Nothobranchius furzeri: one gene and its partners. The protein of the gene in region 1 interacts with the protein of each later gene in a biochemical or structural test. Links are inferred from orthologs where the notes say so. Each region holds a gene or a part of one and is shown in the gene's direction. Other genes may lie near its edges.

The links.
Region 2: the proteins of eps15 (region 1) and fcho1 form a complex in vitro, tested with the Homo sapiens proteins (2 studies listed by BioGRID). The link is inferred for Nothobranchius furzeri from reciprocal best matches to the Homo sapiens genes EPS15 and FCHO1.
Region 3: the proteins of eps15 (region 1) and epn1a form a complex in vitro, tested with the Homo sapiens proteins (4 studies listed by BioGRID and IntAct, with this or other methods). The link is inferred for Nothobranchius furzeri from reciprocal best matches to the Homo sapiens genes EPS15 and EPN1.
Region 4: the proteins of eps15 (region 1) and numb form a complex in vitro, tested with the Homo sapiens proteins (2 studies listed by BioGRID and IntAct, with this or other methods). The link is inferred for Nothobranchius furzeri from reciprocal best matches to the Homo sapiens genes EPS15 and NUMB.
Region 5: the proteins of eps15 (region 1) and sgip1a form a complex in vitro, tested with the Homo sapiens proteins (2 studies listed by BioGRID, with this or other methods). The link is inferred for Nothobranchius furzeri from reciprocal best matches to the Homo sapiens genes EPS15 and SGIP1.

The regions. Positions count from the first base shown.
Region 1 is NC_091748.1:56,887,454-56,892,516, reverse strand, and holds the start of eps15 (epidermal growth factor receptor substrate 15), read left to right. Parts: upstream 1-1,938; 5' UTR 1,939-1,953; coding exon 1,954-2,109; intron 2,110-4,364; coding exon 4,365-4,406; intron 4,407-4,830; coding exon 4,831-4,920; intron 4,921-5,063. UniProt on the Homo sapiens protein: Involved in cell growth regulation. May be involved in the regulation of mitogenic signals and control of cell proliferation. Involved in the internalization of ligand-inducible receptors of the receptor tyrosine kinase (RTK) type, in particular EGFR.
Region 2 is NC_091748.1:67,313,857-67,318,836, reverse strand, and holds the start of fcho1 (f-BAR domain only protein 1), read left to right. Parts: upstream 1-1,577; 5' UTR 1,578-1,680; intron 1,681-4,980. UniProt on the Homo sapiens protein: Functions in an early step of clathrin-mediated endocytosis. Has both a membrane binding/bending activity and the ability to recruit proteins essential to the formation of functional clathrin-coated pits.
Region 3 is NC_091745.1:76,098,750-76,103,589, forward strand, and holds the start of epn1a (epsin-1), read left to right. Parts: upstream 1-1,437; 5' UTR 1,438-1,515; intron 1,516-4,840. UniProt on the Homo sapiens protein: Binds to membranes enriched in phosphatidylinositol 4,5-bisphosphate (PtdIns(4,5)P2). Modifies membrane curvature and facilitates the formation of clathrin-coated invaginations. Regulates receptor-mediated endocytosis.
Region 4 is NC_091758.1:16,940,577-16,945,580, reverse strand, and holds the start of numb (protein numb homolog), read left to right. Parts: upstream 1-1,601; 5' UTR 1,602-1,706; intron 1,707-2,531; exon of another isoform or gene 2,532-2,687; intron 2,688-2,693; exon of another isoform or gene 2,694-2,884; intron 2,885-5,004. UniProt on the Homo sapiens protein: Regulates clathrin-mediated receptor endocytosis. Plays a role in the process of neurogenesis.
Region 5 is NC_091748.1:68,168,490-68,173,596, forward strand, and holds the start of sgip1a (SH3-containing GRB2-like protein 3-interacting protein 1), read left to right. Parts: upstream 1-1,704; 5' UTR 1,705-5,107.

The DNA.
Region 1 (5,063 bases):
CCCCAGCAGGACAATGGAGTCCCCTGATGGAGCACTATCTAGCACTCGTCCCAGGGACTCCAAAAAGGGTGGGTACTCTGAACTGATATTTGGCCCATACGCACAAACAACAGTCAGGACCCGTTCCCCGACCCGAAGGCGCAAGGAAGCTACCCTCTTGTCCCCCGGGGTAAACCCCAACACACAGGCAGAGAGTCTCGAGGCTAACAAAAAGCCAACCCCAGCCCTCCGCCTCTCACCCGGAGCAACTCCAGCAAAGTAGAGTGTCCAACCCCTCTCCAGGTCTCGGGTTCCAGAGCCAATGCAATGTGTCGAGGTGAGTCCGACTATATCTAGCCGGTACCGCTCAACCTCTGCCACAAGCTCCGGCTCCTTCCCCGCCAGCGAGGTGACGTTCCATGTCCCAAAAACTAGTTTCCTTGTCCGGGGATTGGACCGCCAAGGCTCCCGCCTTGGTCTGCCACCCGATTCACATTGCACCGGACCCTTCATGTTCCTCCTGCGGGTGGTGGGTCCACAGTTGGACGAGCCCATGTATCCGGTTCGGGCTGGGCCCGGCCGGGCCCCATGGGCGAAAGCCCGGCCACCAGGCGCTCGCTCACGGGCCCCAACCCCAGGCCTGGCTCCAGGGTGGGACCCCGGTAACCCTCCGGGCCGGGTACTCCGACTCTTCGTTTTCACCGCCATGAAAGATCCTTCGAACCGTTCTTTGTCTCACCCTTCACCTAAGACCAATTTGTCATGGGAGACCCTACCAGGGGCACTAAGTGCCCCAGACAACATAGCTCCTAGGATCATTAGGGCACTCAAACTCCTCCACCACAATAAGGTGACGGTTCAAGGAGGAGGTGTGCGAAATTTGTTCTCCGCAATTGACCCTGGGGGAGCGGTGAGCTGCAGACACAGCTGTGCTCAGGAACCATTTGGTGGCTTAACCCCCCAGTCCAACCCCTTAATGCTGAGTGTCAAGCAGGGAGGCATTGGGTCCCATTTTTTCAAAGTCTTTGGTATGACCCGACCAGGAATTGAACCCTGATCTCCCAGTCTCAGGGCGGTCACTCTACCACTAGGTCACTGAGCTGGTCTGCCAGGCAGCAGTATTTGTTGCCGGAGGGAGACGCGCTGCGTCACTCTCGAGATTTTGAGAAGTCAAGTGGTCACACAGGCGGAGCTGCTGAACGCTTCTTGGAAAGTCGCGTAATAGTCACAACATCACGTTGGACTTGAGAACAGAAATAAGGAAGTGACTCTATTGTTTATACATGATCAGACTTGCTGTCATGTTTTGTGAGACTCAAATTAATTAAAAATGGGTAAGTATGCTATTTATTTAAATTTGAAGTTATCAAAACTGTGGTTGGGTTTGTGCCGTAAAGCCATTCCACGTCGTAATGTCTGTTGTAAAGTACTCCACAATGTTGTAAACAGCTGCGCCGCGGCACTTGAGATAAAACTGGCACCTGTCTTCAGTGCCTAGGTGCAGCACAGCGCTTCTGGGACGCCGCGCGGCGTTCCCTGTGTACCCACTCTCATTAACTATAATGGCTTTTATTTAAAACGACGGCGCGGGTGCGGTGCGTCTGCCTTCAGTGTGCCCCAGGCTTAAGAGTCTGGTAGGAGTGACTTGCTCTTTAAATTGGAATGTCCAACCCTTTCAAGAGCAAAATAATCAACTGAATTTTTTTTAATAATGCTGCAGTTATTTTATGTTTTTATATGGTTCAAAACACCAAAAATATACACATTAATAAAAATGTTTGATCATGAAAATCTCAAAGTTTCTATCTACATCACCAGACTGCAGGAGAGACAAAATCCCACCATTCTAGAAATTCAATAATGAGGCCAAACAGTCTATGGGCCAAACAAAATCACTCCGAGGGCCACTAAGGGCCCCCGGGCCTCCTTTTGGGTGTGCCCGTATATTATGTCGATGGGCGTGCCCAGGGTTAAATGACTGGCCTGCTGTTAGTGGGTGTGATTGGACGACTCTGTATTTCGGGTCCGGTTCCAGGTTTTTCAGCGGCCTCTGTCTGTGTCTGGCAGCAGCGCAGCCTGAAAGCAGTGGGAAACAGAAACACTATGGCTGCCACTTTGTCTCTTACTCAGGTAACAGTGTCTTACAACTCAAATATAACGACAACGAACGCCGCGGGCTTCTGTCCGCGTTACTTGCGCCCAACTCAGTGGTGCTGGCCGGACTGGGCGGGCGGAAACGAGTGCTCTCCTCGACCGTCGTCGGTGTTGGGGAAGTTTTAGCCCTGCTGCGAAAAGTTTCTGTCTAATCTCTTTGGGGACTGCGTAAGGGCGTAGCTAGCCAGCTAGCCTGCCTGCTAACAGCTAGTTTATGTCCAGTGTGGGGCTGTTAGTGGGGCTTCTTTGTCAAACTTGACGTTTAGCTAACGTGACTTGGCTTTGGTTAGCAGTCTTTAAAACAACATTGCGCACCCTCTGTTAGCCGCAGGCCAGCCGGTCTTTGCTAAGAAGATGATAACCATGTGTGGCTCTCTGTTGTGGCTCTGCTGTCATATTTTAGTTGGTTAACGTTCGCTCCAAGTTTTAGTTATGTTGTGTTGCATCTTCTGCTTTCGTGTGCTTTATAAGCTACGTTGCTACTCCCATGGCTGTCTGCATGGTTACACTTGATATGGCTATAAATAGAATGAAACGTGCTTCGGTTGATGTGTTTTTATTCCTTTGACATTTTTGAAGTGGACAGACTTTATTATGTTCAATTATTTAATGTAAACGTTGAGTTAATTTTTAGTAGTGCAGCTTTAAATAATGTAAACTGTCGTTCTGAAACCAGTAAGAGGAAGTTAACTATGGCAGCCACTAGCTCGTTCTGCTGTCAGAAGTAAAAGCCTGTTGCTAGTTGGGTGAAGAACCCAAAGTTGGTGAATTGTAAGTTATTTAGCAGGTAGCGGGCAAGTTTAATTGGTATGGTCACCCGAGCCTCTGTTGCCTCTGTCAACAGAGCAGGAGCAGCGTTGTCTCTGTGTTTTCTCTTCATTGCTGCTGCTTCTTGTCTGATTAGTATCTAATCTGACCTCCATGTTTCTGCTGACACTGTTTACCATTTTATTGCTGTGACAATCAAACATGTTGAAATGTCAAAGAGAAACCAGCCTGTCCTGTTAACAAATGCAACATGATGCATCTTGTTGAATGCCAAAGTTTTGAATGAACTATGCAATAATGGTTATAGTTTTTTTTCACTTTATGGCTTTTTAAAGAGTGCAGTACAATGATGACAGTGTCACAGCCATCGATAGTTCCAGGCACACTACTGTGTTACAATTTCTGTGTGTGTGTGTGTGTGTGTGTGTGTGTGCGCGCGCGCGTCAACAGTTATCTCACTTTAAAATTGGCATTTAGTTGTCCAAAGTAGCTGACAGACAACTGCTGATGACAGGCTATGTTTTTTTTCTTATGTGCCAGAGTTGGTTACATAATTTACTCCTAAGCTGATGTTGCTGTTTTCTTCTTCATCTTCATATTGGTTTGGAGATGGAAGGAAAGCTTTTAAGACTGCTCCTCAGCACATCCACTTACCAGATAATTGCTGTCCACTCCTTTTCTCTATTTCATGGAAGCTACCATTTAGCATTTTTAGTTTAAAAACAGGGAAATGCTGATTTGTTTCCTGTTTAGCTCAGATGAGAAGAGGAAAGAAGGGATATTACATCAGAAAAGCAAATTACTCTCGAGTGTTAACATCTTGTGGCTTAGTTTGAACACAAATCACAGGCTTCCAGAAGGTATCGTCATGGTAATTCAGCTCAGAGCTTTAGTATCAGTTAGCCTTGCTTTGCAGTTTCATCACCAGAAAATAATGATTAACTTTGCTTTGTATAAAAAACACAAAGATATGTTTGTCATTTAATTTTTGCATGAATAAAGACTCACCTCTTAGAACCTGTAACAGTGAAAATCTAATTATTCAACAATCAAGAATCCCAGTAGTGGCATCACTTGTTCTTCACAAAAGTGGCATTACTTCAACGTGTCTTTGGTTTTACTGATTAATTATGATCAGTTCTGGGATAAGCTAACATTTTGTGGCATATTTTAGGCTTTATAATATTTTAAATTTAAAGGTTAAATCTACTGGTGCATGTACTCTAGTGGCTCTGTGGCTTTTTAAACTCTGTGGTTAACGTTTTCAGTTTTTGATCTTCTGACTGATTTTCTCTAGCTGCCAGATTATATTTTATTCAAATTTGTAAACTAAAAAGATTTCTTAGAGAAATACAGACATTTTAGGTTTTTGTAACTGACACTTTAAAATTTTGTTTTGGACTCTATGAAACGCATCAAATGAGGTTTGCAAAATTTACAAACATGCTTTTATTTGTTTTCAGCTTTCCAGTGGAAATCCCATCTATGACAAACATTATCGACAGGTAATGGAAACGACCACTCCTCTTCCCTTTGTTAAATTATATTATAAGCATGAATATTTATTATAGCAATTTAAATATCAGTAGTTTTTTTAACCAATGTCATTCAGTTGTGTCAAATTCAAACAGACTAACACAGAACAACCGTTTTTATCTGTTGCTTTTGTGAATTTAAAATTGAAATTAGCTGTAGAGCTTTCACTGGTGAGTTCTCTCTTCTGCCTTTTCTTTTCCAGCCTATGAATTAATAATGTTTCCCTTTGACAACCATTCAGGGAAGCTCCCTCTGGGCTTTCTAATGGAGTGCTGAGCTAATACTACAGAGATTATAATAGTTCTGGTTAAAGTGAGACACAGGCTCTTTATTCAGAACCTGTGCATCCGAGCGTCATGCACATTAAACATGCTGCTGTGGGCGTGCATGCAGGTGGATCCCACTGGCAGCGGGCGGGTAGCGGCAGCTGATGCGGCTCTGTTCTTGAAGCGGTCAGGGTTGGCTGACATGGTCTTGGGCAAGGTGAGCTAAGTTTTGTCTCAATCCCAACTTAGCGTCTCTGTCTTGGCTTCAGGGTTAACAGTAGAACTCCAAAGGCAGTCGTTTTGACTGCTTCCTGACTTATGTGTCCTTTAATTTTCATGTTAACATTGATCAAATATCAA
Region 2 (4,980 bases), about 10 Mb from region 1:
GATGATGAAGATCTAACCATCACCATTACTGAACAGGAAATGTACAGCGACCATGCAAAGTGGCACTTTTGACACTCTTCTGCTGCACGACTGAGGAGGAAATCAGGCATTGAGTGCTTCCAACAGAGCGCCCTCACTTCTCATGTGTGCAATATGCTAATAGCACCTGGGAGGACAAGTAAAGTCATGAGGCTCATTTAGTGTCAAAACACAAAATGCATTTTTGTTTGAATTTCACGGTGTCTAATAGAAATTAATCTGTGAGCTTTTGCATTAACAGTTTTAATGATGCACTCTCTAGCAGATACTCAAATTTTGCAAATTTTAAAGGAAGTTTCAGTTTCCTCTGAACTATTTTCAGTTGCAACAAACGTCAGAGCAATAACTGAGCAAAGTGAAACCGAACCTGGCTGCTCTGGAGCCTTTGGAGGTGGTTGTGAAAAGAAGAATATTGCACAAGCTGCTCAACATAATGAGTAGCAGCACAACGCCTCTGCACAACATGTTGGTTTAGGCACCATACTTGTTTAGTTAAAGGCTTTTCCTTCCCCACTTCAATAAGAACCAGCACAGGAGGTGGTTCCTGTGATGGAGACAATGACTTTGGATCAACAAAGGCAACTTTATGTGTGTGACTGTGATGCATGTGATTTTTTACGTTTTAACCCTGTGGTAGACGGTGTTTTGAAATTAGGACATTAACACATACCAGTTGTGAATTTTTAAGGTGGTAACAATGTTAAGGACAATCACTTGACTTGTGGCTGTTGTCCATGCTTTCGTTATTGCTATTATTTTATGACACGAAAGCAAACAAACATGTATGATAAAAATAACTGAACATTTTAAAATTAGTTTAGCCCTCCATCCCATTTCCTTTGAACAAAAGCATTCCAAGACAGCTTCTTTCCCCCCAAAAATAAGGACAATAAATAAACGGTTGCTGCAAGAAATCTCTTTGAACATCATGGATCATTAGTGCATATGTATGCTATATTTATATCTACTTTTTCTTTTTTCTTAGATGTGTTCTTTATCTGTATGCCCAAAATAGACCATTTGATTGCCTTCAAATTTAATTGTGTTCTCAATAAATTAAAGCTTTCTAATTATGATATTCATCACTGTTTGAAAATGAATCTTCAATTTGAGCTGTTTTACAATATCCTTCAAAATATTATAAGATATATGCATTCTTATTACATTTTCAGGGAATTGAGCTAAGCTTCACAATGTGTGATTATTTTTCAAGCACCTCAATATTTATAATAAATTTCAAAATTGTAATTAAAATGGACGAGTAACTGTTATATTTAGTTTAAATGTGTGATTTATTGACAAATAACACTACCACTCACATCCTTGGTGTCATACTTTTGTTCCAAAAGTATCATTGGCTGATTTTCTAACTGTGGTAACCATTGTCCAATCATATGCGAGTATACAATTTTCAGCCCGCCTTCGAGTGGTTGCTATGTCTACTACGCGTCTCTGTATAACTGACAGGCTGGGTAGCCAATCAGCATTGAGCTGGGCGGGCGCACGCGCTCACACTGGCAACTGTCTCATGAATTTGTACTACTATGATCAAACCGTACTGAGAGAGGTCGAGTGTTGGACCGAAGCAGCCCAAAGTCGGGATGGAAAATGAACGTTACGCTAACTGAACACTCTGTCCAGGTAAGGAAAGAGTTCCTCGTCTTGTTCCGTTCTCTTTACAGTGACTAATATTGAGAAGTGTCCGTGAAAGTACCCGCTAATTACGCTACGGTTTTTAAAATAGCATTAGTACACGCGCTTGTTTGACGTTTGAACGGAGGGAAATTTCGCTAACCCACAAAAGAAAAACAAAAACTAGACTAACATGGTCATGTATGGGTTTGAGATGCATAAAAGCGGACTCGTTTATTTTCTGTGTGTCTGGTGGGGTGAAAATATCATTTTGGTCAAGGTGGCTCTCAGTTTTGTTGTCAACCGGCATGACGAATGTGTTGTCCCACTGTCTGACGCTGCTTTCCTTTTATTTATTGTGAGATATTTATATTTCAAGCTTTTTACATAACTTATGAGTTATTTCTAATGTTGAAAGTTAGTTATTTTGAATTCACATAATTGTTATTTATGTGTTTTTAATATGAGCGCGCTGTGTTTGAAAGCTTATGTTAATAAGATTAATTAATATCGAAATGCTAGAAAATAGACTTTTAGGAAAGGTCAGAGTGGTACAGGTTAAACAAAAGCTTATTTACGTTCATACCGTCTAGAATTGAAATTTCAATACCTTTTTAATTTCAGTTTATTGTTCCTTTTAGTTTACTAAGGCAGCCACAGCTTTAAATGTGTCCTCATTAGTTTTTGTCATAAATCTCAGTCAAGTTCCTTTAAACTACTCTGTCAGAAACATAAAAATGAAACTTTACAAGAATTTTTAATAAATATGAACAAGAAATAATATTTTAAACAATATTTTTTTCTATATGAAAGTAAAAATTTACCTGCATATCATTTCATCTCACACTGACACACCTCCTCCATATTGCTCAATTGAAACTTTTTCCTGTCTGAAAGTAGAGTAACATCAACTCTTAAATCAAGTCTGTCCATCACGCTTGTGCCAAACTACTCATTAGCTGATTTTACTGTTGTAATTACTGATTTATTTTTATTTTTGAATCACGTTTCTTTCATCAGTTTAACAAGGTTAATCACTGGTTGCAAAAAAAAAAAACAAAAACTGGTGGGGAGTTTCCCTTTGAATGTTTGTTAGATGCTTATTTTTCAGTATGACTTACAAGTAAATTTTCCAACAGCTATAGGATAAACTAGTGTTTGCATAATGACACTGTGCTCAGCTACCTTCTTGAGCAGAAGTTGTTTTTCTGCTGTTTCTGCTTTTCTCCCTCTGTGTCTTAAAGCAAATGTCACAAGTTAAGATCTGCTGTGTCTTGATACCAAAAGGCCAAACAACACTCTCCTTGTGCCTTGACTTCTGCCAGGGAGAAACATTTTCAATTCAATTCAAGTTTATTTATATAGCGCCAAATCACGACAAGAGTCGTCTCAAGGCACTTCACATAATAAACATTCCAATTCAGGTCAGTTCATTAAGCCAATCAGAAATAATGTTTCCTATATAAGGAACCCAGCAAATTGCATCAAGTCACTGACTAGTGTCAGTGACTTTACAGCAATCCTCATACTAAGCAAGCATAAAGCGACAGTGGAGAGGAAAACTCCCTTTTAACAGGAAGAAACCTCCAGAGAATCCTGGCTCAGTATAAGCAGCCATCCTCCACGACTCACTGGGGGTCGAGAAGACAGAGCACACACACACACACACACGCACGCACGCACGCGCGAATAAACAGCAATGTTGTTTTACAGGAGTGTGAAAATATGACAAATATCAAAATACAGGGGAGACAATACGATATTGTGATGCTAAAAGCAAGATAATATTTGTTATTTTTAAGACTGAACATAGTAGTAAGACGCAGGCCAGACGCTTCCAAGACACATCCTGGACTAATCCCAATACTCACACGGTGACCTACGATCTCGTTGCGTCATTGACCATGACACATGCCAGGATGCCGGTCACTGTTTGTGCTACTTTATTTTAAAAATCTTTGTCAACAACTTTCATACAAACAATTGATAAAATTAAAATTCATTGCTGTCCACATTGAATTTTTGTCTAAAACATTCAGAGCATGAGCAAATATTAATCATCTTAAAATGAACTTCTTTCGTTTGAATATACATATAAGGAGCCCAAGTCTCCTCCCCTACTGGTTGGCTCATGGGTGCCTGGAAAAATGAAAAAAATGAATGCAAGTCAATGGAACTAAAAGAGCTATTTTCTAATCCGCTTTGGCTTACGCCCTGGATCGCACATATGTTGTACTTCAATTTGAATGAAAACTTTTGATGAATGTTTCAACCATGTCAGTCACGTACTTTGAGATTTATCAGCTTGTAAAAGTTCGTAATTAGCATGACTACAAATGAGACATCGGCATGTTGCATATATGACGTCTCCACAGAACCTCCTCTCCCCTAGCGTAGCTGCTACTTACCAAATGGCCAGATTTATGGTGGTTCTTTCCTTCTGAAGGAAGGATTTGAGGTTTGCTGAAGTTACAGCAATTTTCCATTCGTTTTTCTCCATGTCTGGTACGGTGACGTCAATTTCGTTAAGCGCATTTGTAGTTGAAATTATTTTCACACAAAAGATAAATAACGTTTCCCCCTGCTCAAAAATAAGCGCTTCCTTGGTATCAAAATGCGTCTTGAGTTCACAAACATCATATGTGAAATCCATGGCACAAAACAAACAGAATTAGAAAATAGCACTTTTAGCCCCATTGACTTGCATTAATTTTTTCGTTCTTCCGAGGACCCATGGTCCGGAAGTAGATGGGCGTGACTTAAGCTCCCTATTTTCATAAAACGCACCTGAGCCATTGTTCTGCCTTTTCAAAATTCCCACACAGTAGGGCTGCTCAATTATGGCAAAAATAGTGATCACGATTATTGTGACTGAAACTGAGATCTTGATTATTTAAGACGATTTTTCAATTTATGTTGATTTTATTTGCTTTTATTCAGTCAAAAATTGCTCAGGGAACAATCAGGAAAAAAATAAATAAGAAACAGGATGATCACTAAAATAACTCCTGATTCCCAGTATAAAAAGACCAATATACTTATAGCTCATAGTCTATGACCCAAGGGCTACAGACCTCGGTTTAACTCATTTAAGTCTAACCAGTACAGACCCAAACACCAATATCTTGCAAATACTGACAGCAAGAATTATACAGTGGCATTTATAACAAATAAATGCAAATAAATTGATGTTCACAAAATGTTGCATAACATTTATTTAGTCGTGTCAAGGTGCTGTAGGAGAGTGCACTAGCACCGTGTTCTCAAGAGAGGTTAGTTATTAGTTATCAGCGTGAGGAACTTATTTCT
Region 3 (4,840 bases), on another chromosome or scaffold:
ACAGGAAGACAGGCGTGTTTCTGTTAATATTAATTACAGCAACATCAGGTCACAGTGTATGATATTCACCTTTTTTTCACGAGTGTATCTTTAAGCGTATGATTTTCTGTGATGCTCAGCACATGAACTGCAGTCACTGTGAATGGCAGTCTGCAGAATGAAATCCAAGCTTGTAACACATGTATGCCAGCTGTTGGTGTTGCTGTCTTCTACAGAGTTTGTCTTGTGTTAATTATGAATTTACTGGCAGGTGAAGGCGGCTGTTCTGGTTTCATCTGAGGTTAAAGGTAGGTAAATGGTGCCTCTTTGTGGACAAGCCTGCTATCACACTCCAGAATAAATAAATCAGACTGATATGACATGTATCCGTTGTAACTAAATGGATTTTATTACATCTAAATTAAGATTTGTGTTTATTAGTTTAAACTTTCTCAACATCTTGCAACTTTTTGCAAATCAGTTAGTATGCTCTTGTGTCCCCTCTTTTTGGTCTAGGCTTTTTTAAGTGTATTATCATCAAAGTAGTAAACAGCGTAAACTGGATCTCATAAAAGTGAAATAAATATTAATCATGACTGAAATGATCTTCATGAAACAGGATTACACCAGCAGTAATTGGACTTGATTGTACAGTGAGTGTCACTGGATTTGCAATTAATATAATTCATTTTTGTAACTGTTCTGAGATGACTTTTTTTATTTTGTACAAATAATCAAATGCTTTTGTTTTTTAGTCACATTAAAGTGTTGCCTGTGAATCTATTTTTAACAGGGAGTTGTTACGCAGCAAATGCTAATAATTAATGGCTTAAAAATGTGGTACCTGTATTGGAACATAAGATTTTCCTTCATTATATAGTAAAAATACTTGTGTATAGACCTGTTTTGATTGCGGTAGTGTCACCCATGTTTGTAGTATACAAATTGCTATAAATGTTAGATATGAGTCTGATAAGATCATGGAAATAAAAGCTGTTTTAAAATAGCTTGTTGCAGTCTTCATGAATCAAGTCCAGGTAGAGTGACTTTTATTTAATTTTATTATTATTAATATTGTTGCTGTTGTTGTTGTTGATTATATTGTTTATGGTGTTGTTGTCATTCTTATATATTCATTTCACGTATTAATAAAAGTTTACTGCATTTGTGTATTTACCAGTAATCTTGTTTATTTTTCTTCCTTTTCTCTAAGTGTATGTGCTGCTGTAACGAGTGAATTTCCCCACTGTGGGAATAATAAATTCTATTCTATTCTATTCTATTCTATTCTATTCTATTCTATTCTATTCTGCATATTTTCACCAAATAAGATTTTTCCATAATATAACTTTATATTGCTTAGATTGCGTGGTATGACATCGTTAAAAGATCATATTCAATGTCATTTATTTGGTGATAAAACTGTAAATAATTATTAAATAAAGTTTTAAAAAAATCAGGAGGTGCGGTCTTTCCTGTAGGCGAGAACGGAAGCGGAAGTTCGGCCATCTCCTCGTACATCCAGGCTACAACAGGGTCAGTATTTATGTTATCTAGATGGTTATTTTGTCACGTTGTCAATCTTTTGTGACGTGTTGTCTTTTGAACGAGTGTAGCCGACGCTGTCCCAAAGCAGGAGGTGTCCCTGTCATCTAATTCTCACACAATGTAGCAGTCAGGTTGCGAATTAGCATCAGAAGCTAGTTCGCTAGCATCAAGTGATTTCTTTATCAATCAAACTGGCAGGTAACCTTCGAGTCTAGTCTGCTGTAACTCCTTGTTATGTCTGGAAATTTCATGGGTTTTTAGTAGATTGCCTGTTCGTGCCAAGCTGCACCCTCGTGTCCCATCTTGTGACTATTTTTTGCACAGACTTTTCAGAGCTGAGTAGCAAAGTGCTAGTCAACACTTTCGATTAGCTTGTGGTGAGAGTTGCTAAATGACAGCTACCGTTAGTTGGACGTTTTCGTTCATTCTTCCCAGTCACCATCGGACTTAGTGGCACAGTGATGCTAGTTTAATGCTGTAGCTCACGTTAGCAGCTGCACAGCTGTTTGATTGCTAACGTTTTTTTCGCTGATAGGGTGTACCAGCATAAACTGTAATTGTTTTACTGAGTAACGGTTGTTTGTCTTATCTCCGGGTGAGTTATCTGGGTGGGGGGGACTCTGGTGCGTCAGCTCCATGGAGGTTCAAAAGCAGAACAAACGAGTTGAAGTTTGATACCAACTTTTTAAAACATTTGTGTTTATTGTATTCGTTATTTATGTATTTAAATCCACCCATATGAACTTAAAACCTACCGTGTTTAATCGTTTTTATGGGATGTGCTGGGATATGACCCTAAAGTTGTAAACAATTCTTATAAACAACGAGCCTGAGCAAATGGCTTTCCTTCTGCAATGTGTACTTTCAGTATAGACCAAATTCAATCCAAAACTCCCTAGAAACATTTCCTTCGGTGCGTCCATGCTGCAGAAATGAAATCCACCTGAAGTACACTGTGTACTTGTACTTTGCCCAGATACGTGGCTATGGAAAAGCAGGCAAAGCGTGGTCACAGCTGATTAAAATAACCAAGAAACTAACTTTAGAAAAAGTTTGCGAGAGGAAAGGTTGAGAGTAACACCTGCTGATCCCGTTGGTTCTAGATCACTAATCTACTTGTAAAATGAAGGAAGTGGGATCTGCTTTCAGTACAGATTGTTGGTTCTGACCTTTATTCAGTGGGTGCTCTCTCTCTAGCTCTCCTGTGCTTGGCCAGCCAGCCAAGGCCTTGTATGATGATTGAAATGGTGAACTAACCTGCCTATTTGGGGTTTCCTTTTTGAGCAATTATGAGGTTATTCCTGTGAGATCAGCTCAAGAAAACATAGTTTTATATATTACACTTGAGATGCACAAAAACCCATTTGTTTGTTCCCAATCATACTTCAGTCTTAGAGCAATGTATTTGCTCCACAGTAAAACTAATCATGGTTATACTGAGCCTGGTAATGCAGTTTGCAGGGGAACTACCTGTTTTGGTGAAGAAGACTGAATGTAGTTTATTCATAATCTAGGCCATTTAGTTATGTCATGTTTTCTGTGTGATAAGGCATCTCCGTGTCAGTAATACTTGTGAAACAAAGATGGAGTGTTGTAGCCGAGAGCAGCAGAGTTTAAATGTAGTTAATGGAACTTGATATGTTGCTCTGGGTCTGATGTCTGAGAGCCAAAGGACGTGTTTCAGAACTTGTCTAAGATTAGGTGACGGACGTGAACTTGGTTGTTGAGTTTTAAGAGGCGCTAAACTGACTTTCATATCTTATACATGGCTTTTATGTAACCAATGCTGATGGAGATTTAAAACATGATGCCAGATGCAAAGTAATTTTATTTATTTATTTATTTTAATACCAACTTTCCAATAAAAAAGTTATACTCTGATTGCTGGACAAGTATAAAACAAGTTGTTGTTGATTTTGAGAGGGTAGTTTGTGTTAAACTTGATTTTTCCTGACATTCCTTTCAGCAGACCTGTGGTAGAGTTCAGTCTGGACCATCGGGTCTGGACTCATGTTTTGCTACAGCTGGGTCGGAGTGCAGAAAACTCAAGGTTTTCACGGGGAAAATAGCACTGAATCTCGGTTACCCAGCAAGGCTAGTCTCGGATGGTGATTATAAAGTGAAGTTTATTCATTTAGATGAAAGTTTTTGATAGATGAACATTTTCAGGTTAAACTTGATCCAACAACCTTCAATTTTTGTATTCATGTGTGGAGATATTCTGAAAATTTAGACTAATACTGGTAGCAATGGCTGCACAGTACTTTGATATTAGGAGTGCATATTGGCAAGAATCTAGCGCGATACCAGAGTTTCCCCCAGCACTTTTTTGCTTGGTCACCCGGCAGGCTAAGCGCTTTGTGAGAACATGTAGAACTTGTACAATTAGCTAGTAGTTGCAGTGTTTCCTTGAGTTTATTCTGCCATGGCCTCGTAAATGGCTTGGACGCGAGATCTTGGTGATGTCACAACACGTGGTTCTTGAGAGTGCAAAACTATTGACTACACGTGTCTGCAGCACAATTAGACATGCATTTATATAGTTAATCAGGAAAAAAAGTTGATTTGGGGGTGACTTGCTCTTTAAGATGTTTTTTGTTACAAGGGGGTGTGGCTTTGGCACAGCGTGCACCGGGAATCATTTTAGCATGGTTTGGTGAGAACATGTAGATTATGGCAGTGAAAGGATGCATGTGGTCAGCAGCAATTGTTCAGCCTGCTGTGTAAGCAATCTAGTGCAAACAAAGGCTCAGGAGACAGTGTGTGGACAAGAATTATGCAGGAGAAATGTACACATTAAACCTTTATTAGACATGAGTCCATTCTTTGTTGAAAAACCAGGTACTATACGTTTGGCATCATTGAAAAAGCAGATAGTGAGTATCTGCTGGTTTAATTTTTCACTTGTTCATATTATTGCAACCATTTGTCTTTAAATGTTGGCTCTATTGTTATTGGTGTTTAAAAGATTCATTCCCTCCAGGCTCATTCTCTCTCCGAGGGCTCCTGGATGTCTGGTCGTTTGTAGGAAAAGCTGTGATAAGGAATATTATTACCCAGTAAATAGATATGGGCTCTTAGCAGCAGAATTCAAAGTTCAGGTAATGTTCAGGGTTGCAGCACAGAGTAGTGTCCTTTTACTTTCATGTAAAGTTGCATTTGACTAAATGTTTACTTTTTTTGTAAGGCTAAAATAAATCCAGTTTCAGTGAAGTAAAATCAGGTTTTCCCAGTCAGTCTGGGATCCTGATTTTAATTTTCCCTCATTTTCTTTGTAGATTATTATAAAGGTTGTTCATTTATCATCTTTTCT
Region 4 (5,004 bases), on another chromosome or scaffold:
GAAACATGGAGTTATTTAAAATAGAATTTCTTGTTTTATCTAAAAACAGCTCTCTGAAGCATCAATAAACACGATTTAAAATCCTGTTGTGACATTTGCTTTAATGCTTCGTGGTGTCCAGAGGATGAGCCCAGTGCTGAGACGTGCTCTCTGTGCTTCAGGAAGAGTTGATCATTAGAGGGTGGCTTTGATGATCAGGAAGTCGAACGACACCCTCATCCAGACTTTGCTGCAGCACCGGTAGGAAACAGAGTGAGACTACAGGAATGAGCACAGAATGATGCTATCTGACATATCAGTGGTGAATTGTGATTAAATTTTGGTTATGTGCTGTGGTTAAAGAGGAGCAAGAAGCTCAAGATCCTGAGAGAGACGGGGTTTAATCAGAGAAGAGCTGGTGAACACATTCACCAATTAATATTTCAGACAGTTTTCACACAAGAGTTCATTTACTAAGTGAACAAGACTCCAGACCAACCAGGTGCTCTGTGAACCAGTGACAGTCAGACACGGTGGTGGTGGTGGGATGGTCTGGGGCTGCTTAGCTACTTCAGGACCTGGAACACTTGTTGATGGAACCATGGGTTCTGTTCTCTAGCAGGACATCCTGAATGAGAGCATCTGACCTTAAACAGGCCATATCTGCTGGAGAACCCTTTAATGGAGCTGAATTCAGACTGTTCTGTGGAGAAGAGCAGGACAAGACTCCTCTACAGTGATGTGAGGGACGTGTTACCAGTTCCCACACACACTTAATCCAGTAGGTTCCTCCACGGGTCTTACAGCTAGTCGGTAGGCTTTGGTGCGAGTTACTTTGTTATGTGTCTGTAGATAAAGGTGTATGGCAGAGGTCCTCGACTCACTTTGTTCAGCCAGAATTTAATGATTGCTTTTTGAGAAAAAAAACACAATCCTCCTTTTTCCTGCTAACAAAACCCAGGAACCATAAGATCCAAATGTTTGAGAAGTCAGATTATGGAGATACTTTATTTCACAGCATGGACAGATTGTGATACTGAGATCCTAGAAAGGTCATAAAATTATGTCACAGCATGATGAAAGGTGAGGTGAAGTTGAAAGGTCAGCCTAAGTAAATGAAGGCTCCTATCACTAGAACACAAATCTCTAACCCCTAATTCCCGTTGACCCCGGTAACCCTAATCCTTAGCTGCAGCTAACAAAGGTTCATGAACTTTAAAGGTTCTGACCTACAAAATAACAACCCTGGAGATTTCTGTGGCTGCTGAGCCACATATATGTTTTGCTCTGTTCTGCAGCCTGTGGTCGGGCTAAAATTAAGCACATCAAAAGTATGTTCAGCTAAAAATAAAAATTATTGACAGATTTGTTTCTCATCTCTGTTCTGGGTGGACTGTATTGGATATAGTTATGAGAATTATATTCATTTGTCTGTTTTATATTGAAATGCTGTTTCGCCTGCATTAATTAGATTATTTTATAAGGATCTCAGGTTCAAGAAAAAAGACCTGATGACAGTCCAACCTTCCAGCAGGAGGCAGCCCATCCTAACAAAAGAGGGGATGTGAGGCTCAAAGGGAAAATTCTGGGACAGGTTGATCGGTGCTTCTTTGCTGTAAAACCTTGAAACAGAATCAGAAGAGAAACTTAACGGAGAACAAAAAACAGTCACAGATAAAGAGGCATAGTTAATCTGGGACAGCAACAGATTCTTCACCACAGCTAAGGTAAGAATCTACAAAACAGGTCCAACTACTTTTAGCCTTGTGTGTGTGTGTGTGTGTGTGTGTGTGTGTGTGTGTGTGTGTGTGTGTGTGTGTTTCTGCTTGTTCTGTAACCTTTTAGCTATTTGTGAGGAATGCTGATAAACTTCTGGCCTTTTGAAGGGGCCAGTGTGTGATCATCAGGTGTGTGTGTGTGTGTGTGTGTGTGTGCGTGCGTGCGTGTGTGATGGGGGTTACAGTTAACCTGAATTAATCACCAGTGTTTTAAACAAATAAAAAAAACAATAAAACTAGAATCTGGTGCAAAAATTAATTTATGTCAGTAAATAAACGTAGACTGAGAGGCTAAAGACTAAAGGCTCAGGAACCCTTTGCATGTGTTTCCGATCAAGCCGATTAGCCTAGAATATTAATGGTCTAGGATTTAGATATTGGGGTTTTCATAAACTGTAAGCCATAATCTTTACAGTTATGACAAATAAAGGCTTGAAATTTCTGTCTTTGCCTGGAATTATTCCAATATGTTAGTTTCACCTTTTAAGTTGACTAACTGAACTAATGGTTCCAGTCTCACCTGTAAACATGTAAGATTCTGATTTTTCATTGACAAAACGTTGTCTTTATATCCACCCATAATTGTTGTGGCTTCCGTTTCACAGCAAAAATGAGCGTCTCTGCGCATGTGGTAATTGTTCCGCTCACAACTGCGTCACTGACTCCGGCCCAGGTTACAATCAGCTATCGATCACCTCCGATCAGCGCGCGCCAGCCAATGGCCTCGCACGGAGGCGGTCCGTTGCCAAGGAGGAGGTTTGGTTGAGTCTCCGGGTCGCAGCCATTCAGCGGCGGTGACTGAAGCGATTGGACTGCTCGGGTCTCTCCGAGACTTTTTTGTGGAATTTGAATTATTTGGCACGGCACGGCTCGTGACTCACAGGTGACGGTCTCGGTGGGGATCCTTCTGGGTCGCAGAGGTGGTCACAGGTATGTTGAAAGAAAAAACAAAAGACGTTCTGTGTTGATAGGACGAGCGTTTCTAGTTAACCGTTAGCTCCCAAGCTAAGCTGCGCTAGTCCCCCCCTCCCTGCGCACCAAGCTACACTAGCTCCCGGTTACGTGACACTATTCTGTTCTTTTACTACCCTGACTACATGGCAGAAGAGGCTAATGCAAGCTCCGAGGTCTGATTTCTCTCACAAACAAAGGAGATGTCATTCTGTATGTGGCAGTCTGAGATGGGATGATATTTAGCTAGTTAGCTCACCACTTTCAAGTTACCAGGATAACTTTTAAGAGATGGACGTCACTCCGGCTGGAGTGTGCAGCCACCGAGCTGGTTTGTTGTCACGACGTCGCTGGTGTGTAATATTATTGTTAAAACGTTGTGTGCTAAAGAAAGAGTGGGTTTATTTAGCTGTAAACTGAAGTGACTTAGCACGTTCCGGGGAAAAAAGGCGTAACTGGTTCAGCTCTGAACATGTTAATGAGGCTGAAACGACAGGTCCTGGATCAGCCGTGACTCATGCTCTTAACACGCTGGATGGTTTAAGGTGCGTTAATGTGATCGCGTAAGGTGATGGTATCTTGGTGAGATCTTGCTCACTCTTCATTCTACTCTGGTTGTATCTGTGAGCAGATAAACACAGTAGTCAGATTACCTCCTACTAACAGATCCAGGAGCAGGAGGATGATGTGCCCAGGTTATTCAGATGGGAATGTTGTCAGGAAGTTTGGATCCATCACAATTCCCTTGATGGTATCATGACATGCTGTTTTGTCGTTCATTATGAGGGAATAGTGTTTGTTTGCTAATAATATTTTTATTCTGGTTGGATAAGTGTAATTGTATAAATTCAAGATGAAAAAAAAAACAAAACAGCACATAGCTAGGCCCCTTAAACATCAAATCTCACTTTTTGTTTACAAGTCTACAGAAACAAGACAACTACTGTCAGCCATGTTTATTCCTATTCATTCATCGGTTTAAGCCCAGTAGTTTTTTCTGAAGTGGAAAAAATGGAGCAAAATGGCAGATTTTTCTCCCATCGTTTACCAAAAAGGGAGTTGTCTGGTTATCTTCCACTGAACCCACTGTCTAAGTATGTCAGCTATTCGAGGGAGGCGAAGGAGAACACAGGAGCATGTATCTTTCTGTGGTTTAGAGATTCTCTGAGAAACTTGCATTACCCTTATCATCTTGCGCTGCTGTCAAGAGAAAAGAGCTCTTTTGGCAGTGAGCTTTGCATGCAAATGATGCAACACAGGTAGATAAACCTGCTGTGCAATGATAATGCATTCACCAGGCTAACCTGTCCTCAGATAGTCGTGCCTACCTGTGTGTGGTGAAATCAGCATCCGTTTAGCTCAGTTTTGATTGATTCTTTGTTTTGTTGACTGATCAAATAGAATCCGTGTGGCCGTCTCCTCGGCTTCCTAATGTGCATGATATTTTCTGTCATGTACGGGTGTTTGCTTATGAGTTTTTAGTGAGTTGGTTTGAAAACAAGTTGCTTCTTTAGCTGTTTTGGAGCACAGAGAAGACGCAAGCAAGATGGAATTCAAAGGGAGTTGCATATTATTGTTTCTGTTAGCCCCTTCAAACGTCCGTGTAGCATTTGATACCCTTTCATCTTCACAAAGAGGGGCATGCTGTCTGCACACTAGGGCTGCAGCTATCGAATATTTTTGTAATCGAGTACTCTATCGAATATTTTTTTCGATTAATCGAGTACTCTAATAAATTACCCTTTTGTGTTTGTAAACCATTATATCATATATTGATGAGCCAAGATGGCGTCGAGTATGGCTGCCTCGTCGCGAGCTCCACCAAGTTCCAACATTACACACTCCATACTGTACATTAATGCCACTGTTTTGCACATACCAACCTCTGTACATTTTATATCTCTTATCTTGTTTACTTTATTCATTTGTATACTTAGATTAGCCATTTTTATATTTTACTTGTTTTTACATTACTGTATTTTTGCACAACTCTGTTGCTGTGAAGCTCGCACACAAGAATTTCACTCGCATGTACTGTACCAGTGTACCTGCACATGTGACGTGACAATAAAAGTGATTTGATATCAAATAGCATGTTATAATTATGAAAGACCTCTTAAAATGAGCAAGCAATTGCCAGTTATTCTTCAAGTTTTATTCAAAATTAGTTTGCATAACTTCAGCACTTCAACTTTACTTCACAGTAAACAAATGCCTGTGCAAAAAATAAGTAAACAACCTGAGCTGATTTTCCCCTCGTGTGAGAATCTGCTAGCCTGCAAGCCAGACAAAAACT
Region 5 (5,107 bases), about 11 Mb from region 1:
CTTCCTTCCAACTTGATTGAGACATTAGACTGTTTTGTGATTGTTTCACTGTAAAATTCTTACATGTTTCACCTTTAAATTGCTACAATATTTTTCACATTTTCTGATGTAAAAGCTGCTGTTTTATGTCATCATGCTTGATCTAGATCTGCCACCATGATGTTAAATTGAATTCAGACAGTTTAATTGAAATTGTAAGGATTTTAAGCAAAAAGAGTCCCAGATGAATGCATCATCCCCATCTTCATACTCCTTTGTTCTGTGAACCAACTGCCAACACACTAATATATGATTTCTGGCCCTGACCCACTTTCTGTTAGAGGTGGCTGATGTCACTTGGCAAAATAACCCCCTTTTTAGAAAGTGTGTAGCATTATATTAAATCAAACAGATCTTGCAATAGTCTAGTCTACAAATAGAAGTATTAGTGCATGATCTGTTGGTGCATGACAAGTGTTGGATTTGTCATCTCACGGTGCAGCCACCTGGACGGTCTGGTCGCGTTCTAATTTTAGCATCCCCATGCCTTAATGCAAACCCTCGCTTTGTCTTAGTGATCCAGATGCTTTCCTGGCATGCCTGATGAGATTCAGTTGTCACTGCTGATTTCTGGAGATTTGCTTTACATCTGAATGTTTTTTCTCTTGTAAGAATTTCCCATTTTAAGTTAAAATTGGATAAATATGGAAGATTATCATAACAATGTTAGAGAAAATGCAATAAATGGTCATAAAGATGAAATGCAAAAGGTTTTTATTTTTTATTTGGTTTCAGTCAAAACTAGTTTCCATCTATCTTTGTATCTGGTGCAGCTGGATGTATTATCAGTTGTCACAATCCAAACTAAATATTTAGCTCTAACTTTGCCAAATAGTGCATCTTCGTAGGTTATGGTTCACATTTTTATCCAGTTGTCTTCCAGGGCTTTGCATCATCCTCTGGGATTATTGGATTTAAACACATTTTGCTCACCTGTTTCCTCCTCCTTGTTCCAACAATTTTAGGTCGTTTTTAGCCTTCTGTAAGCAACATTTCCACCGTATCTCTTTATTTGTCTGTTACACTGATGAACAGTTTTTCTGCCTTCCTGTCTCACTGATTCCACTCTTCTTCCCATTTCTACATGATTTTTTTTTTGCCTCCCAGCCTTCGCGACACTACTTGCTTAATGTTTACTTACCCACCTGCCTGTCTGTGGATCATCATGGCTGCGTAGCAGCTTGACCTTTGCTGATGTTCTGTTTTTCTTTCTAAACATGCTCAGACATGCACACATCGCTGGCTCTTACTGAATGGAAAAGACTTTCTTATCCATTTTTGGGATAAATGCGTACAAGTACAGCCACAAGAGCGTACTGTTTATTTACCCAGGTTAGGATTTAAATAACAAAAGACATTTAATCTCTACTAAAAACATCTTTTTAAAAAAAGCCTATGTTGTATTTTTGTCCTTACTGCTTACTATTCACAGCAGCACAGGTCTCCCATTCAGTCTGGAGTGGTCTGGCCGTGTCCTCTCCTCTGCAGTTGGCAGTGCAAGCTGTGCCCCTGTGTGTGTGTGTGTGTGTGTGTGTGTGTGTGTGTGTGTGTGTGTGTGTGTGTGTGTGTGTGTGTGTGTGTGTGTGTGTGTGTGTGTGTGTGTGTGTGTGTGTGTGTGTGTGTGTGTGTGTGTGTGTGTGCGTGCGTGTGTGTGTGTGTGTGTGTGTGTGTGTGCGTGCGTGTGTTACTGCTTCGTTGGCTGATAGTCTCTTCATCTCTGCTCCCTTTGGGGAGGCTTGTTAAACAACTTTTGCCTGTCCAAAAACAGACCGATCCTTTGAGCGTCCTGAGCAGCTGTCAGAATTTGAGTCCAGGTTTTTGTGAATATCTCTAGGGGTTTGTGTTTCTGAATCACTGTTTACCTATCCATTTAAATTTTCTTGTTCTGCCTCTTGTATATGTGGGAATGAAACATCACTTCCTATACTGGCAGATAGAAACATGCAAACCCATTGGAAATCACATAAAATCCTCTGACTAGAATCTATGTGCCTAAAACAAGCGATTTCAAAAAGTCTCTGTTTGTGACATCACAAACAGGAACTTTTTGTAGTAAAACAGGCATGGGGAATCCTGGTCCTCAAGGGCCGGTATCCTGCATGCCTTTGCTCCAACACTTCTGAATCAGTGGTTGAATCACTTGTGCAGCAGCTCATCGATCTCTGCAGAAGCCTGTTAATCACCTGCTGATTGAAACCAGGTGTATTGAAGCAGGGTTGAAATTAAAATATGCTGGAAAGCGGCCCTCTATGGACCAGGGTTCCCCACCCCTGTAGTAGAAGAATAAAACCACCTCTCATGCGCAACAAAGAGATGCTGCTGGAGGAGCAGCAACCCTACTCCAAGCCCCTCCCTGATATCTGAGCTTGTTAGCTTATAGCAGCCTGAGCGGGGGATGGGTGGGCGTGGCCAGCAACAGCTTGTTTTCTTAAAATGATAGAACACTGAGATGGCTCATTCTGGAAGATACTGAAATGGCCGATAATAAAACTGCTGAAATTGTTCAGTGAGACGGATTTAGTGCAAAGAACTTCATGAACATGTTTTTTTCTACCATAAAACTATTCTAACTTAAGAAAAAAGGCATAATATGCCCCTTTAATACAAATCAAATGAAAGCTATTTACTTGATCAATTTTTACTGATAATTAACCAAAATAATCAATTACTTAAAATCCAACTGTGAAATGAAAAGAAAAAAGTAACTGGGGTGATGGTGGCACAGGAGTTAAATGATCTCCTCGTAATCGGAAGGTTGCAGGTTCGAGCCCCGCTCAGTTTGTCGCTGTCGTTGTGTCTTTGGGCAAGACACTTAACCACTCCTTGCCCGCTGGTGGTGGCTGGAGGGACCGGTGGCGCCAGTGCTCGGCTGCCTCGCCTCTGTCAGTGCACCTCAGGGCAGCTGTGGCTACATTGTGGCTCATCCCCATCAGGGTGTGAATGTGTGTGTGAAAGGGTGAAAGACTGATAGTGTTTTAAAGCGCCTTGGGGGGTTCCAGGACTCTAGAAGTCCCTATATCAAATGCAGGCCATTTACTATTTAACTGATGCAGACCTTAAACAGGTACAACAAAGATTTAGACTTTATTTTCTGACAAAACTTAATCTGTTACTTAATTATCTTCTTTTCTCTTATTTAACACAGTGAAGTAAATAGATGCTTCTTTACCTTCGGCTGACATGTTTCAGCCAGAACTTCCGCCTTTGTCAGAGTTTTAAAGATAAATATGGATAATCTGTTTCTATTTTAAAGTTTATTTTTGCTCATTTTTAAATATTAAGCTGTTATTTGTTATGCCATTTACACATAAGCTAAATGTAATAGCGACAATGACACAATTGTAGTGTTTTAATGTTGTTTGTGTTTGTAAAAACTAGTTCCTGTAGGCTGAAGGGTGGAACAACATTATAATAACACATTTGCTTCTGCTCTGAGTGACGTTCCTCCCGCTGTGAGTTTGTTTTCACATATTGGAAAATCCAGACTGAGTTACGCATTTTCTTAGAGAACAGGTGAGCGTTAAAACTATTAAACAATGCTTGGAGAGGAATTCTTATGAGCTTTTTATTGTGCAAATCCTCTGAACAGTTGAGAGTTTTTGAAATAATTTGTTGGCCTAATTTATTTTAGGTTTGGGAACTTTTCTCTTGTTTGGATTAAAACTTTTTGGCGTTTCCTGGAATTGCTGTGTCTTGAGGATACACCACTAATTATGCCAGCACTTGAATTAGCATTCCTCTGATTGGGAGTCCTTTTTAAACTTCACCTCATACGCGTCTCAAGCATGTATCTTTAATTTTTCTTCTCTGCTGCAGCTCATGCATGCTTAACTTTCCTTTCTTGGTGTGTTCTTTTAAATGCATGCGGTGTGAAGCTGCCATCTGTATGCTACTGAATACTTTCCCTCGCACTGCTGTAAATCTGTCGGCTTTTATTTGGAGCCAAAGTGGATTTATTGGAAAGGAGAAAGGAGCAAAAAACAGAAAACTGATTAAAAATGTTCGAAAAAGTCTTGAAGGCTTTTATTTTGCCCTTTTGAGGAAACGATGAAAAAGCAAAAATGTTCACGTCATCAAAAAACTGAAAGATCAATGAAAAACTTGCCATGAGAGGTAATTTATATGTTATGTTTGACCATGACTATTTCAGTTAGTATTACATCACCAAGTTCAAACTAAAACACACATTACAATAATAGAATACCAAGTCTTATTTAAGGGTTGACACAGTTTCCTGAAACTTTTAAGCATTTTTAAATTAAAAAAATTCAAATTCAGACATCTGAATAAATACTGTAAAAATGGTGAAGATTTTTATTTTATTAGAACTAGAAGCCAAATACAGCAACCATTACCTTTTTGGTTAAAGATGTCTGGATGTGGAAGTAATGGAGGGGTTACGTCCCCGACAGGAGGTGTTTAAATGTGAAGGAGGGGGCAACATAAGAAATGTGATAGTGGAGTTAAAACGGGTTTAATTGTTATAAAAGGTTCTAAAAACAAGTGCAAACAGATGGCGAGCATTATTAAAATTATGCAAAACGAAAAATTCACTATAAGGTTAACAGTTAAAAGACAATTCATCAACTATATAAAACACCTGGTTAAAACTTTATTAAATGTTTTACCTAAACCAAAGGTGTTTTAAAAACACAACAAAGTTGATAAAAGTCTAAAAACTAAAACCGAGTTAACCTTAAAACAGAGTCAACTAAGTTGACATCAGCCAAAGATCCATGTGGATCACTCAGAGTTTTTCCCTTTAAAACTTCTCAACTCAGAGTTAAAACTCATCACAAATGAAAGGGTTGAACCCAAACTGAGACCTGGAGGACAGCAGAACCCCTGCACTGCTGCCTCCCAGACTGCTGAAGGCACCGCCTTTTTATCCCAGGTGTGGGTCATCAGGAGGGTTCCGCTCAGCTGTGCTCCTCAGCAGCCTGGAAGAGAGGATGAGGAGGGGCGATGTCGGGCTGATCACCAGGGCTGGGTGATCCTGGCTCCTGCATCCCAATGGCCAGGCTGGTAGCCGTAACAGGAGGGGACCATCTCGGTGACAGGAATTCAT